Saccharomyces cerevisiae S288C: one gene and its partner. The protein of the gene in region 1 interacts with the protein of each later gene in a biochemical or structural test. Each region holds a gene or a part of one and is shown on either strand. Other genes may lie near its edges.

Evidence for each region. Proteins that work in one complex are often made in the same cells at the same time.
Region 2: the proteins of LSM8 (region 1) and PRP24 form a complex in vitro, tested with the Saccharomyces cerevisiae proteins (one study listed by BioGRID).

What each region holds. Positions count from the first base shown.
Region 1 is NC_001142.9:465,551-472,593, reverse strand, and holds LSM8 (U4/U6-U5 snRNP complex subunit LSM8), read right to left. Parts: upstream 2,811-7,043; coding exon 2,481-2,810; downstream 1-2,480. Other genes in the region: BNA1 (3-hydroxyanthranilate 3,4-dioxygenase), read left to right, coding at 923-1,456; methylthioribulose 1-phosphate dehydratase MDE1, read left to right, coding at 1,630-2,364; REC107 (Rec107p), read left to right, coding at 3,015-3,330, 3,411-4,039; TES1 (palmitoyl-CoA hydrolase), read left to right, coding at 4,313-5,362; peptidylprolyl isomerase ESS1, read left to right, coding at 5,561-6,073; dihydroxy-acid dehydratase ILV3, read left to right, coding at 6,386-7,043. UniProt on the Saccharomyces cerevisiae protein: Component of the nuclear LSM2-LSM8 complex, which is involved in spliceosome assembly. The LSM2-LSM8 complex plays a role in the biogenesis of the spliceosomal U4/U6-U5 tri-snRNP complex by accelerating PRP24-mediated annealing of U4/U6 di-snRNA.
Region 2 is NC_001145.3:799,559-806,841, forward strand, and holds PRP24 (U6 snRNP complex subunit PRP24), read right to left. Parts: upstream 4,665-7,283; coding exon 3,330-4,664; downstream 1-3,329. Other genes in the region: RSN1 (Rsn1p), read left to right, coding at 1-1,821; inorganic diphosphatase PPA2, read left to right, coding at 2,214-3,146; TMA23 (Tma23p), read left to right, coding at 4,898-5,533; RRN9 (Rrn9p), read right to left, coding at 5,768-6,865. UniProt on the Saccharomyces cerevisiae protein: Functions as a recycling factor of the spliceosome, a machinery that forms on each precursor-messenger RNA (pre-mRNA) and catalyzes the removal of introns.

The sequences.
Region 1 (7,043 bases):
TTGCGTTTCAGCTTCCTCTAACTTCGATGACAGCTTCTCATAACTTATGTCATCATCTTAACACCGTATATGATAATATATTGATAATATAACTATTAGTTGATAGACGATAGTGGATTTTTATTCCAACAGCAACATGTTAAAACGAAAGCTGATGTTTGGAAGCCGTCTCGAGTAGGCTATACCGACATATTTTCCCAGGAATATAAAGGAATTGTTGTTGCGATAAAGTTTGTGATCTGTTCTGATGCTGAAGGAACCTTGTACCCGAGAGAGTATAACTCCCGTCTCCATGATGTAAAAAGACTTGGGAGAACAGGACTGTCATTCACAGATAAAAAGGAGGCGTATTTACTCGAATTTAAAAACCAGGACGTTGTAGATCATGTTCATAAGTTAATCTTGCCTTTTAACACATCTTGGCAATCTAACTAGATTCGTCCAATTGTATTTTTACTTCAATAATCTTACATAATAATAAAAATTTTTCTATTTGTCCAAAAAAAAAAAAAATAAATAAAATAAAAAAAGCTACCGTAATTCATGCGTACAGTAACTGGCTTCCTTACTATACCAAGTTTATTCTTTGATTGCGCTGCCAAAATAGCCTGTCAAAATTTGCGCGGATGTATTTTCGACGTCAACGGTGCCATTATTTTTCTGTCACTGACACCTGTACTCCTGAACGGGTATCGGCATTTAGAACGCTGCCTCCAAATGTCTGGTGAACGTTCGTGAATATTCAGAGTGTCGTTATTGCAATGGAATGGCTGCCTTTGTGACGGCGTCAGGATAAATTGTGAGTCACTGAAACATATTCGGCAAAGTAAAAAAACGGACGTAAAAGATTCTTTCTTTATTCTTTTCACGACAGTCTACAAGTAACTGAAATAGCATACATTTACCAAAAAAATCGAAAAAAATGTTTAATACTACACCAATTAATATCGACAAATGGTTGAAGGAGAACGAAGGCCTTTTGAAACCACCGGTGAATAATTATTGCTTACATAAAGGGGGATTCACTGTGATGATTGTCGGTGGGCCTAATGAAAGAACCGGTTATCACATCAATCCAACTCCCGAATGGTTCTATCAAAAAAAAGGATCTATGCTTTTAAAGGTTGTGGATGAGACAGACGCTGAACCAAAGTTCATTGATATCATCATCAATGAAGGCGATTCATATTTATTGCCAGGAAATGTTCCTCACAGTCCTGTTCGGTTTGCTGATACTGTGGGTATTGTTGTGGAACAAGATAGGCCTGGGGGAGAAAACGATAAGATAAGGTGGTACTGTTCTCATTGTCGCCAAGTGGTCCACGAGAGTGAACTGCAAATGTTAGACTTAGGTACCCAAGTGAAAGAAGCCATTTTAGATTTTGAAAATGATGTCGAAAAGAGGACATGTTTCCATTGCAAGACGTTAAACTACGCACGCCCTCAATCTAATTAAGTATTAGAAGAGTTGTTAGTTGTACTTTTATAGCTCTCTTGTTACGTAAGATTGCGGCACTAAGATGCGGTGCCAATTTTTTTTTTTTTTCTCTTGATCAAAGCAGCTAGCTGTTCATCAAGATATGTAACGTTTTTAAGCACTGAACTAACAAGGGGAGCCAGTGAACGACTATGTCTTCACAAGATGTTCTGATACATTCAGATGATCCGTGCCATCCAGCAAATCTCATTTGCACGCTATGCAAGCAGTTTTTTCATAATAATTGGTGCACCGGAACTGGAGGTGGGATTTCAATAAAAGATCCTAACACGAATTATTATTATCTCGCCCCATCTGGGGTGCAGAAGGAGAAGATGATACCTGAGGATTTGTTTGTCATGGACGCTCAGACATTAGAGTATTTGCGCTCTCCCAAGCTTTACAAGCCAAGCGCATGTACTCCATTGTTCTTAGCGTGCTACCAAAAGAAAAATGCAGGTGCTATAATACATACACACTCCCAAAATGCTGTGATATGCTCCTTGCTATTTGGCGATGAGTTCAGGATTGCTAACATCGAACAAATCAAAGCAATTCCAAGCGGAAAGGTGGACCCTGTGACCAAGAAACCCATGGCGCTATCGTTTTTTGATACGCTGAAGATTCCCATCATTGAAAACATGGCGCATGAGGACGAGTTGATCGATGACTTGCACAAGACTTTTAAAGATTATCCAGACACATGCGCCGTAATTGTGAGGAGACATGGCATTTTTGTTTGGGGTCCGACAATCGATAAGGCCAAAATTTTCAACGAAGCCATCGATTATTTGATGGAGCTGGCCATAAAGATGTACCAAATGGGGATTCCTCCCGACTGTGGCATTGGCGAAGAGAAGAAGCATCTGAAGATGGCCAGTCCGTGACGGGTTAATGCTTAAATTTATTGTATGATTTATATACTTCTATACATGGTATTATTATTATTATTATTATTATTATTATTATTATTATTATTATTATTACTATTATTGCAACTATATTATTTTGTCTTTGATTCGTACACTTTTTCCCATATTACATGCTCATTTTCGATTTTATTCTTGGTGTCCTTTAGCATTGGGACCTTCTTTTCGTCTATAGGAGCTAGACTGTCATCATTTTCTGCATCTATGAGGCCAACAAGAGCAATCTCGCTGCCTCGAAGTAACTGTGCCTTGCAGATGAATTCCTTGCTTATGCGGTTGAAAACATTGGTTATGAATAGATTAGTATTTTTGTCGAAGCCGTTTAGGCTTGCTATGAGGCATTCGCCGTCAACTTTGATTATAACAACTCTTTTATTTAAGTAGTCTTTCAAGGTGGCTGACATGGTGCACGATAGTGTGTTCTTCTTGTATGGTGTACTGTATGCAGCTTGCTGGTCCATCTTATAAGAACCACGTAAGATTAGTTTTTTTTTTTCCCTTTACGCCATGATAGTATTTTCAGGACTTAAAGGGAAAATCAACAAGAACAGAAAGAAGGAAAACAAGCAAAACAAGGATACTGCAGACGTGTAGAAACATTTAGTAAAATGGTCGCTAGAGGTAGAACAGACGAGATATCTACAGATGTTTCAGAGGCTAATTCTGAACACTCGTTGATGATTACAGAAACATCATCACCGTTCAGATCTATATTCTCCCACAGTGGGAAAGTAGCGAATGCAGGCGCTTTAGAGGAATCGGACAAGCAGATACTGGAATGGGCAGGTAAACTGGAATTGGAGAGTATGGAGCTGAGGGAAAACTCTGACAAGCTAATTAAAGTTTTAAATGAAAATTCTAAGACATTATGTAAATCGCTAAACAAGTTTAACCAGCTACTGGAACAAGATGCTGCTACGAACGGTTCGTACCAACACAGTGCATACCCTCAAGTTTTTTATTCATTTTCTTCCAAAACACATTTACTAACAACTGTAGTATAGGAAACGTGAAAACCTTAATAAAGGATTTGGCTTCCCAGATTGAAAACCAACTGGACAAAGTGTCAACAGCAATGTTATCGAAAGGCGACGAGAAGAAGACAAAGTCGGATTCCAGCTACAGGCAGGTATTAGTCGAAGAAATAAGCAGGTATAATTCCAAGATAACGCGACACGTAACTAACAAGCAGCATGAGACGGAAAAGTCGATGAGGTGCACCCAGGAGATGCTCTTCAACGTCGGCAGCCAACTGGAGGACGTGCATAAAGTGCTCCTGTCTCTATCCAAAGACATGCACAGTCTACAAACCCGCCAGACTGCTCTAGAGATGGCGTTTCGAGAAAAGGCAGATCACGCCTACGATCGCCCGGATGTGTCTCTGAATGGCACCACACTCCTGCACGATATGGACGAAGCCCACGATAAGCAGCGTAAGAAGTCCGTGCCGCCACCAAGAATGATGGTCACAAGGTCCATGAAACGCAGAAGATCCAGCTCCCCAACCCTATCCACCAGCCAAAACCACAATAGCGAAGACAATGATGACGCTAGCCATCGGCTGAAGCGTGCGGCCAGGACCATTATTCCCTGGGAGGAACTAAGACCCGACACTCTGGAATCTGAGCTGTGAAACGGGCGTCCTGCTTTTTCATTCTACACAGGCATATGTAACAGCAGTGTATAGGCTATGTAAATCGGCCCAATCAACAAACAAGCGTTGCTTATTGGACTTGCTACTACCCCAACAAAGGAGAGAGCCTTTGATTGCATCCTCGGAAGAGACGGCATAAACACCGAGCCTCATCCTACAATGAAAAACCACGCCAGTTGGATATAAACCAGAAAAGGGTTTCAATTCAGTATCCACCATGAGCAAGACAAGATAAGACAAGATTGCATAAAAATGAGTGCTTCCAAAATGGCCATGTCCAACCTAGAGAAAATATTGGAACTGGTTCCTCTTTCGCCTACCAGTTTTGTCACAAAGTATCTGCCTGCCGCGCCCGTAGGGTCTAAGGGCACTTTTGGTGGAACGCTGGTATCACAATCGCTGCTGGCGTCATTGCATACTGTGCCATTGAACTTCTTCCCCACATCGCTACATTCGTATTTCATCAAGGGTGGTGATCCGCGGACCAAGATCACGTACCATGTGCAGAATCTGAGAAACGGTAGAAATTTCATCCATAAGCAGGTTAGTGCTTATCAGCACGACAAGTTGATATTTACGTCGATGATCTTATTTGCCGTGCAACGGTCCAAGGAGCACGACTCCTTGCAGCACTGGGAGACGATTCCAGGCCTGCAAGGTAAGCAGCCAGACCCTCATCGTTATGAAGAGGCCACTTCGCTTTTCCAGAAAGAAGTTCTGGACCCACAGAAATTGAGCAGGTATGCCTCATTGTCCGACAGGTTCCAAGACGCAACCTCGATGAGCAAGTATGTGGATGCGTTTCAATACGGAGTCATGGAGTACCAATTCCCCAAGGACATGTTCTACTCGGCAAGACACACCGACGAGCTGGATTATTTCGTCAAAGTGAGACCTCCCATCACTACCGTGGAGCACGCGGGCGACGAGTCTTCTTTACACAAGCATCATCCGTACAGGATCCCGAAGAGCATTACTCCTGAGAACGACGCTCGCTACAACTACGTGGCCTTTGCGTATCTGTCCGATTCCTACCTCCTACTCACGATCCCGTACTTCCACAACCTGCCTTTGTACTGCCACAGTTTCAGTGTCTCGCTCGACCACACGATTTACTTTCACCAGTTGCCTCATGTGAACAATTGGATCTATCTTAAGATTTCGAATCCCAGGTCCCACTGGGACAAGCACCTCGTACAGGGCAAGTATTTCGACACACAGTCGGGACGCATCATGGCAAGCGTCTCTCAGGAGGGCTACGTTGTCTACGGGTCAGAACGAGACATTCGAGCCAAGTTCTGAGGACAATTCCCTCCCACGTATAAACACATACATATATATTCTTATATTATATAATAATATCCTATTTATTATTACATCACCTTTCACGAGCGGGTATCATACCTTTTTCCCTTCGATCTAAGTAGAAAAAGGACCTGAATGATCATTGTGGTACTTATTCCCACGCATAACCGACTACGGCACCACAACGACGCACCAATGCCATCTGACGTAGCATCGAGGACCGGGCTGCCAACCCCGTGGACCGTCAGGTATAGTAAGTCCAAGAAAAGAGAGTATTTTTTCAATCCAGAGACGAAGCACTCGCAATGGGAGGAGCCTGAGGGCACCAACAAGGACCAGCTACACAAGCACTTAAGAGACCATCCAGTGCGTGTAAGATGCCTGCACATTCTCATCAAGCACAAGGATTCAAGAAGACCCGCATCGCATAGATCCGAGAACATTACGATATCCAAGCAAGACGCTACGGACGAACTGAAAACCTTAATCACGAGGTTGGATGACGACTCTAAGACGAACTCCTTCGAGGCCCTGGCTAAAGAGAGATCAGATTGCTCTTCATACAAGCGAGGCGGCGACCTCGGCTGGTTCGGGAGAGGCGAGATGCAGCCTAGCTTTGAAGACGCTGCCTTCCAGCTCAAGGTCGGCGAGGTAAGCGATATCGTTGAATCAGGAAGCGGTGTTCATGTGATCAAGCGGGTAGGTTAGGTTGGCATTTGCTTCTCCACCTCACCTTTTTATGTTCTTATTCCCTCTTGTATCCATTCCGTCCTCGCTGAACCCATGAAAAGAAAAAAAATTAACTAGTCACATAGTTAAATGGCGCTGTTCTTCGCTGCGAGCGGAACCGGGCCTGAAAAAAAATTTTCTCTTTTCCTCTCCAGATGACTCAGTAATATAGTAGTATATTATATAATGTAACAAAAGAAGAGACTGAAGTTTTATTATGCATTGTAGCGCCTGTAATCTTTAGTAACGGATTCTTGTATTTTTTTGTAAACAGCCAAGAAAAAAGTAGAGATGGGCTTGTTAACGAAAGTTGCTACATCTAGACAATTCTCTACAACGAGATGCGTTGCAAAGAAGCTCAACAAGTACTCGTATATCATCACTGAACCTAAGGGCCAAGGTGCGTCCCAGGCCATGCTTTATGCCACCGGTTTCAAGAAGGAAGATTTCAAGAAGCCTCAAGTCGGGGTTGGTTCCTGTTGGTGGTCCGGTAACCCATGTAACATGCATCTATTGGACTTGAATAACAGATGTTCTCAATCCATTGAAAAAGCGGGTTTGAAAGCTATGCAGTTCAACACCATCGGTGTTTCAGACGGTATCTCTATGGGTACTAAAGGTATGAGATACTCGTTACAAAGTAGAGAAATCATTGCAGACTCCTTTGAAACCATCATGATGGCACAACACTACGATGCTAACATCGCCATCCCATCATGTGACAAAAACATGCCCGGTGTCATGATGGCCATGGGTAGACATAACAGACCTTCCATCATGGTATATGGTGGTACTATCTTGCCCGGTCATCCAACATGTGGTTCTTCGAAGATCTCTAAAAACATCGATATCGTCTCTGCGTTCCAATCCTACGGTGAATATATTTCCAAGCAATTCACTGAAGAAGAAAGAGAAGATGTTGTGGAACATGCATGCCCAGGTCCTGGTT
Region 2 (7,283 bases), on another chromosome or scaffold:
GCCGCTCAGATCACCACATACCATGCTCCTCTTTTCATGACGCCTGTGTATATTGGTATTGAGCCATCCGATGTCGTTTGGTTTAATTTGAGGATGTTCTGGTGGGAAAGATTAGGTAGGGAAGTCAGTGCGGTTTCAGCAATTGTCGCGCTAGTAATATTATGGGCTTTCCCAGTGGCTTTTGTTGGTATGATCTCTAATATTACTTCCTTGACTAATGAAGTTAAATGGTTAAAGTTCATCTATAAATTACCAAAACAACTATTAGGTTTACTGACATCTCTGGCCCCAACTGTGGCATTGGCCGTTTTAATGAGTTTCTTGCCGAAATTTATTAGGGGTATGGCTATCACTCAAGGTGCTCCATCTAAGCAAAATGTGGAATATTTCACTCAACAAGCTTATTTCGCCTTTCAAGTTATCCAAGTCTTTTTAGTTACCACTCTATCCTCCGCCGCCACTTCCACAGTAACGGAAATTGTTAAAGAGCCCACGAAGGCTATGGATCTACTGGCTTCTAATCTGCCAAAAGCTTCTAATTTTTTCATGTCATACGTTATTCTACAAGGTCTGTCCATTTCATCAGGTGCTCTTTTGCAAATTGTTCCACTAATACTCTTTTATGTTTTAGGTGCCTTTTTAGATGGTACCGTTAGGAAGAAATGGAATCGTTTTTGTGGGCTATCCAGTATGCAGTGGGGGACAGCTTTTCCAGTTTATACAAACTTGGCAGTTATTACTTTCTCCTACTCCATCATTTCTCCGTTGATTTTATTATTTGCTGCCGTCGCGTTTTTCCTATTGTATATTGCATATTTATACAATTTGACTTATGTCTATCAGGAATCACCCGACGCAAGGGGTATTTATTATCCAAGAGCTCTTTTCCAAACTATAGTTGGTATCTACATCGGTCAGATATGTCTATTAGGTCTTTTTGCCGTTGGTAAAGGTTGGGGCCCAATCGTTTTACAGGTAATTGGAATTTGTGTTACCGTCCTTATTCATTTACATTTGAGCGCTGCATTTGATCATTTATCAAAGGTTATACCCGTTGATACCATGAAACCGTTAGATGGTGTATCAGATACACCTTCTTTCAAAAATATTTATAAAGGCATAGAAAGTACAAAGGTGAAGAAAAATACTTTTGGTGCAAATATTGACATGGACGGAATCAAAGAATTACCTGAATTTCCAATAAAGAAATATCACAAGAGGAGTGAATCAGTCACTGAGCAACAAGTTGAAAATAGCATATTTAGTGAAAATACATTCGAATATCAATTCAACCCAGCAAATGAAGCCAATGCAGATGGGCACGCTATAAATGCAGAAAATTTAATTGAGGACGTGCCATTATTAGCAGATGGTGATACAATGAAAATTCCTCCGGCTCCATGGTGGAAGAGATTCTTAAAACCTCACATTTACTACTCCTATAAGGCTGTAAAGAGCAGACTGCCAGAAATATATGGTTTGGTTGATCCTGATGAAAGAGTCAATGATTTCGATATCTCTCATGCTTACGATTATCCAGCTGTTAGTGCACAATGCCCCGAATTGTGGATTCCTCGCGATCCTTTTGGATTTTCCAAATTGTTGATTTCAGACGTTTCTGGCGTTGTTGAAATGAACGATGAAAATGCTACCATCGATGAGAATTTGAAATTTACTCTGCGTGACGTACCACCACCATATAATGATGTTAAAGACGAAGCAAATGGTGAAGCAAATGGCGAATTTGACACAGCTAGTAAGGAAAATAATCCATTTGCGGACCCAAAGTATAAGGAAGAAGAGAGTCGTTCGGCAGTCTAAAGGTTAAACATTATCAGAAATTATCTATTCCTATTTGTTTAGCTGTTATCCTCTGATGGTTGAATTGTAATTTTACTAAGAAAAGGAGAGGAAAAGGACGTGCATATATTCTTTTAATACATTTAAAATATGATTCTAATCATTTCTTATATAATAGTGTATAGTCTAATCATTCATCGTGTATAGTAACCCTTTTTGTTTTTTTTTATGCAAAGTTTTTTTGTTTTTGGCAATCTATGAGGTTTGAATATTGGATAAAAGGAACTCCGCACAGTAATACGGAGCAGTCAGCTAATTTAACCAGCACTAATAGGGAGTACATTCAATTGGAAACTTTGATTCGCTTGTATGCGTGAAAAGCAAATTCCCTTCTAGAGAAGTTACTGAAAAACATGAATTTATTACGAATGAATGCTTTAACAAGCAAGGCTAGGTCAATAGAACGGTTAAAACAAACATTGAATATTTTATCCATTCGTAATCATAGACAATTCAGCACCATTCAACAAGGCAGCAAATATACCCTCGGGTTTAAGAAATACTTGACATTATTAAATGGAGAGGTTGGTTCTTTTTTCCATGATGTCCCTTTAGATTTGAATGAACATGAAAAGACCGTAAATATGATTGTTGAAGTACCAAGATGGACAACTGGAAAATTTGAAATATCCAAAGAACTTAGGTTCAATCCGATCGTTCAAGATACGAAGAATGGCAAGCTTAGGTTCGTGAACAATATCTTTCCCTATCACGGCTATATACACAACTATGGTGCTATTCCCCAAACATGGGAAGATCCCACAATTGAACATAAACTGGGGAAGTGTGACGTGGCTTTGAAAGGTGACAATGATCCTCTTGATTGTTGCGAAATCGGTTCGGATGTTTTGGAAATGGGTTCCATTAAAAAGGTCAAGGTATTAGGATCACTCGCTTTAATTGATGATGGAGAATTGGATTGGAAGGTCATAGTGATCGACGTAAATGATCCTTTATCCTCTAAAATAGATGACTTGGAAAAAATTGAGGAGTACTTTCCTGGGATTCTAGATACGACTAGGGAGTGGTTTAGAAAGTATAAAGTTCCAGCAGGGAAGCCATTAAATAGTTTCGCCTTTCATGAACAGTATCAAAATTCCAATAAAACCATCCAAACTATAAAGAAATGTCACAATTCGTGGAAAAACCTCATTTCAGGATCACTCCAGGAGAAGTATGACAACCTGCCTAATACAGAAAGGGCTGGTAATGGTGTCACACTTGAAGATAGTGTTAAACCCCCTTCTCAAATACCGCCTGAGGTGCAAAAATGGTATTACGTTTAATATGAAAATAATACCTTCGAAGAAAATGTTTAGATAAAGGTTCCTTGTATATAATTACGTAATCTCTGCTCTCTCGAATGTTGGCTGCTTGATGTATGTGAACGTTTGGAAAGAAACTTGGGTTTATATTCACTGCTAAAATGACATCCTATTAGAAGTTCGTCTTTCTCCGGTTCGGTTAGTCTACTCACCTAGAAACATCTTGCGAAAATCGTCGTTGGACATCTGCTCTTGTTTGTCAGGAATTTTTTTCTTTACTTGAAGATTTGGTCCTTTTTCCATCATGTTTATACAACTAGGTTTGACGTGTTTCATGCTGTGATTCTGTTGATTGTTATAATATCTTTTCATGTCATTAATAGTACCTGAACGTATCACCTTTCCCTGAAATTGAGATCCATTTAGTATCATTAGCATTTTTGCTGCAAACTTACTATCTCTAAATATAATAATGGCGCCATTGAAGTCGCTAACGAGAAGTATTTTCCTAATATCTTTTTCATTGATGTGTATTTCTTCCTGAAGAAATTGGCAGATTAAGCTTGGTGACACCTTATCTGAAAGTGGAAATAAGCATATTAGTGTTTCTAGTTCTTTGCTGTTACGCGATGCGAGAAGTCTTTTGACTTCGTTTCTTTCTAAGAATGGTTTTTTATCAGCCAAGGAAACGGAAATTTCCCTATTACCTAACAAACTTCTATTCATTTGAAGTGCCCTTTCAGCAGAATCTTTATTTTCAAAAACCATAAATGCACAACAGTTATTGAAACTGTGCTCTTTCTGTCCAGCAGGTATGTTGATTTTTTCAATGGAACCAAATCCCTCAAAAGATTCCCTCAGAAGGTTTTCGTCGAGCAATTCTGTACTTAGGTTTCGTATCATAATCTCTCGCCCCTCTAGTGTGGCAGAATCGGTCCGTTTCGACTTTTCCAGCGGATTGGAAACTTTAGTAACTAAAGTATAACCTTCTATTTTGAGTCCATTCAATTTTTCTACACAATATCTTGCATCCTCTTTAGAAGTAACATCGATGTAAGCGAACCTTCTGCTTGTATTGAATCGTAAACTGGGAAGCCGTATACTGAGTGCAACAACGTTAATATCTTGCAATAGATCTCTAATATTTCTTTGAGTATAACTTGGGGGGAAATTCGTCATCCATAATGTGCATTCTGTTAAATGAGATACTATAATTTCATTCTGACCTACAACTTTGTGTGTTTTGGTTATTGCAGCGAGGGCTCCATCATACCTGGCAAATTCAATACGTGCAAAACGAAAGTTCTTCTTCAGCGAATCCGCAACATCAACGTGTATAATGGGCCCACAATGTTTGAAGTACTTATAGACTTTGTTTTGATTATAGCTCTTAGGCAAATTTTTGACTAATACAGTTGTTAATTCTCTATTTCTTGTTAAAGCTTCGTTCGCCTTCTTAGAAGTTAATCCTGCGGCTGCTGGTGATCCTTCATCCAATGGTCGTTTTGAATCTGGTCTAGCGTGATGTCCATACTCCATTATCACAGATTATGAAGTGAATATGTGGGCTTGTTTATCGCTAATGATTCTCATATAATAAATATAAAGGGTTTTCAATGTTGTAGTAAATCTGCCATTTTGAATAAGTTCCCGCCTGAAAATTTTTTAGCGATGACTTTAAAAAAGACATTGATGCACTCTACAATTCATTGTCATGATGTACATAGAAAATTGAATGATACAAGCGGAAATATTATCAGAATAAATCGGACATGGATAGCAAAGAATATCTGATATCATATGGTTGGAAAGAAGGAGAAGCGTTTAGAGAAGGTGGTTTGAAAAGACCCATACTGGTAAAGCACAAGAGAGATAAGAAGGGATTGGGTAATGCTCCTGGCGGGAATGATGGCGAAGCATGGTGGGAAAGGCTATTTGATGGACATCTGAAGAACCTGGATGTAAGCACTGATTCGAATAATGGCAGTATTAAATTTACTCAAAATGAGGCAGTTGCTACTGCTGTATCGAAAAGTAGCTCACCTCTATACAGGTGGTTTGTAAAGGGAGAAGGGCTGAAAGGAACCATTACTAATCTTGGTAAAAAGGAGGAAGCCAGCTTTGTTGTATCTAGTGCAAGTTCGAGTAAAGGGAAGAAGAGAAGAAGGCGTGATGAAGATGATAACAAGGTCAAGAGAAAAAAATTGAAAAAAGATAAAAAGACTAGTAACGACAGTGAGAGTAAGAAGAAGAAGAAGAAGAAAAGCAAGAAGGAGAGTAAAAAAGGAAAGAAAAGTAAGCATAGCAGCGATGAAGGTGATAAATCGAAGCATAAAAAATCCAAAAAGTCAAAAAAACATAAAAAGGAAGAAAGTTCAGCAAGAAGAGATAGAAAGGAGCATATATGATTATCATAGTCTAATATGTAAATATGTATCCGTAAAAGACATTCTTAAAAGTTTGAATTTATGATCTTTTTATTTTTGTATTTAGTCTTTGTTTTCGAACTTTTATTAATATTAAATTTCAGTAAGTAAATTAAAAGAACATCTTTAAAAGAGTATATTTATTGTTACATATGTTGATCTTAAAAGGAGATGAATATTTCTTAATGGAAAAAGGTAAAAAAAAGATTTTCTCATTCATATGTTCCCATTAGGCAGTTCTATGAGGCAGTCGTCCAACTCGTAATCAGAGATCTCATTCTCATCCTCTAAGTAGCCCTTTACCTGAAAAAATGTTCTTTTGTTTAGAGCATCTTCCGTCTCTTCACGATTTAAGCGTTGTAGCTTGGATTTGTCCTTTGATGTCAACCGTTTATCCTTCAATAACTTTTCCACAGGTATGAAATCTTCTCTTGTTTTACTTAATAGCTCCTTTAAGTATGAACTGGTCTTTTTTGGCTGGTGATACTTTTTTAGAATTTGTTTGGGCAGTCTGAATTTTCTCTTTTTATACTTTTCTGGGATATCGTTATATAGCTCTAATGATTTCATGTAGATATCCGTCATATCCTCGTTCATTTCACAACCTCTTGAAACCAAGTCATGATATGTGTATTTAATTCGTCGATTGGCCTGCATGGGCTCGTCGTCTATCTGATTCGCCCTTATATTATTAGAATGCTTATCTTGCCTTACATCGAATTCGTTCTCTTTGGCTATTTTATCATGCAACCCTTCGAATAAGCTGTCCAGTTTAACTAAGATATTCCGGGATATTTCGTTTGGAATGTTCAATTCATCCACATCTAGAGTTACATCATGGTCCAAGGCAGACTTAGAGAGAAATTTTTGCCATTGAGCATCCAGCTCAACCCTCATCATATCAGAGGCGTGCATTAAAGCCCTATTTGAGATCTCCCCCGGCTGTACGCTTACATTTGCAATACCTTCCGGTATATCTTCATACAATTTGTCTACACTAGGGTCAATAATTGTATTGGGATTAGGCCAGCTCGTCCAGTTATCCTTAATTTGGGTCTTCACAAACTGGTTTACTTCATAAAAATGTTTTTTTTCATTTGCCTTATACAATAGTCTTTTCAAGAGGTACGCAGAGTATAAATGCAACGAAAGGTCGACTCTGTGCGAGTGTTCTAGAGAATCTAATAATTCATTTGCAGATTTCAAAGTCTCTTTATCAGCGGTTGTAGTGGTAAGCTCAGATCCTCGTATAATATCTTCGATAGGAGCATCGATCTGAGTTTCAATTTGACTTTCTTCGTCAAGATCACTCATCAAAACCCCACGTAATGTTTGTTCTCAAATATATTTCGTCGTCCCGAAATCAGCACAGTTTTATAATGCAACTGTTAAATGTCTAGAGAGAAAAAACCGCCGACACATCAATATTTTCACCCTTTATGGCTAAACTTGAGTGTGATTCTTGCATCTGAGTAATCTTCAAACACGAAAGGCCTTTTTGTTTATTTTGTAGAAGAAAAATATTTTAGTGAAAAATTATGGAAAGTAGTAGAAATCCTCTCAAGTGAAGCATGACAAAAAGAAAAGTAAGAAACCTTAAAAGACACTAATAGTTGATGAATTACTATGCGAGAACTCACGTAACTCCAACAATAAAAAGCTATTTACGTATACTGATTAAAAAAGAATACAAGAAAAATTTATTCTTTCCTATACAAACAATGATAATCAA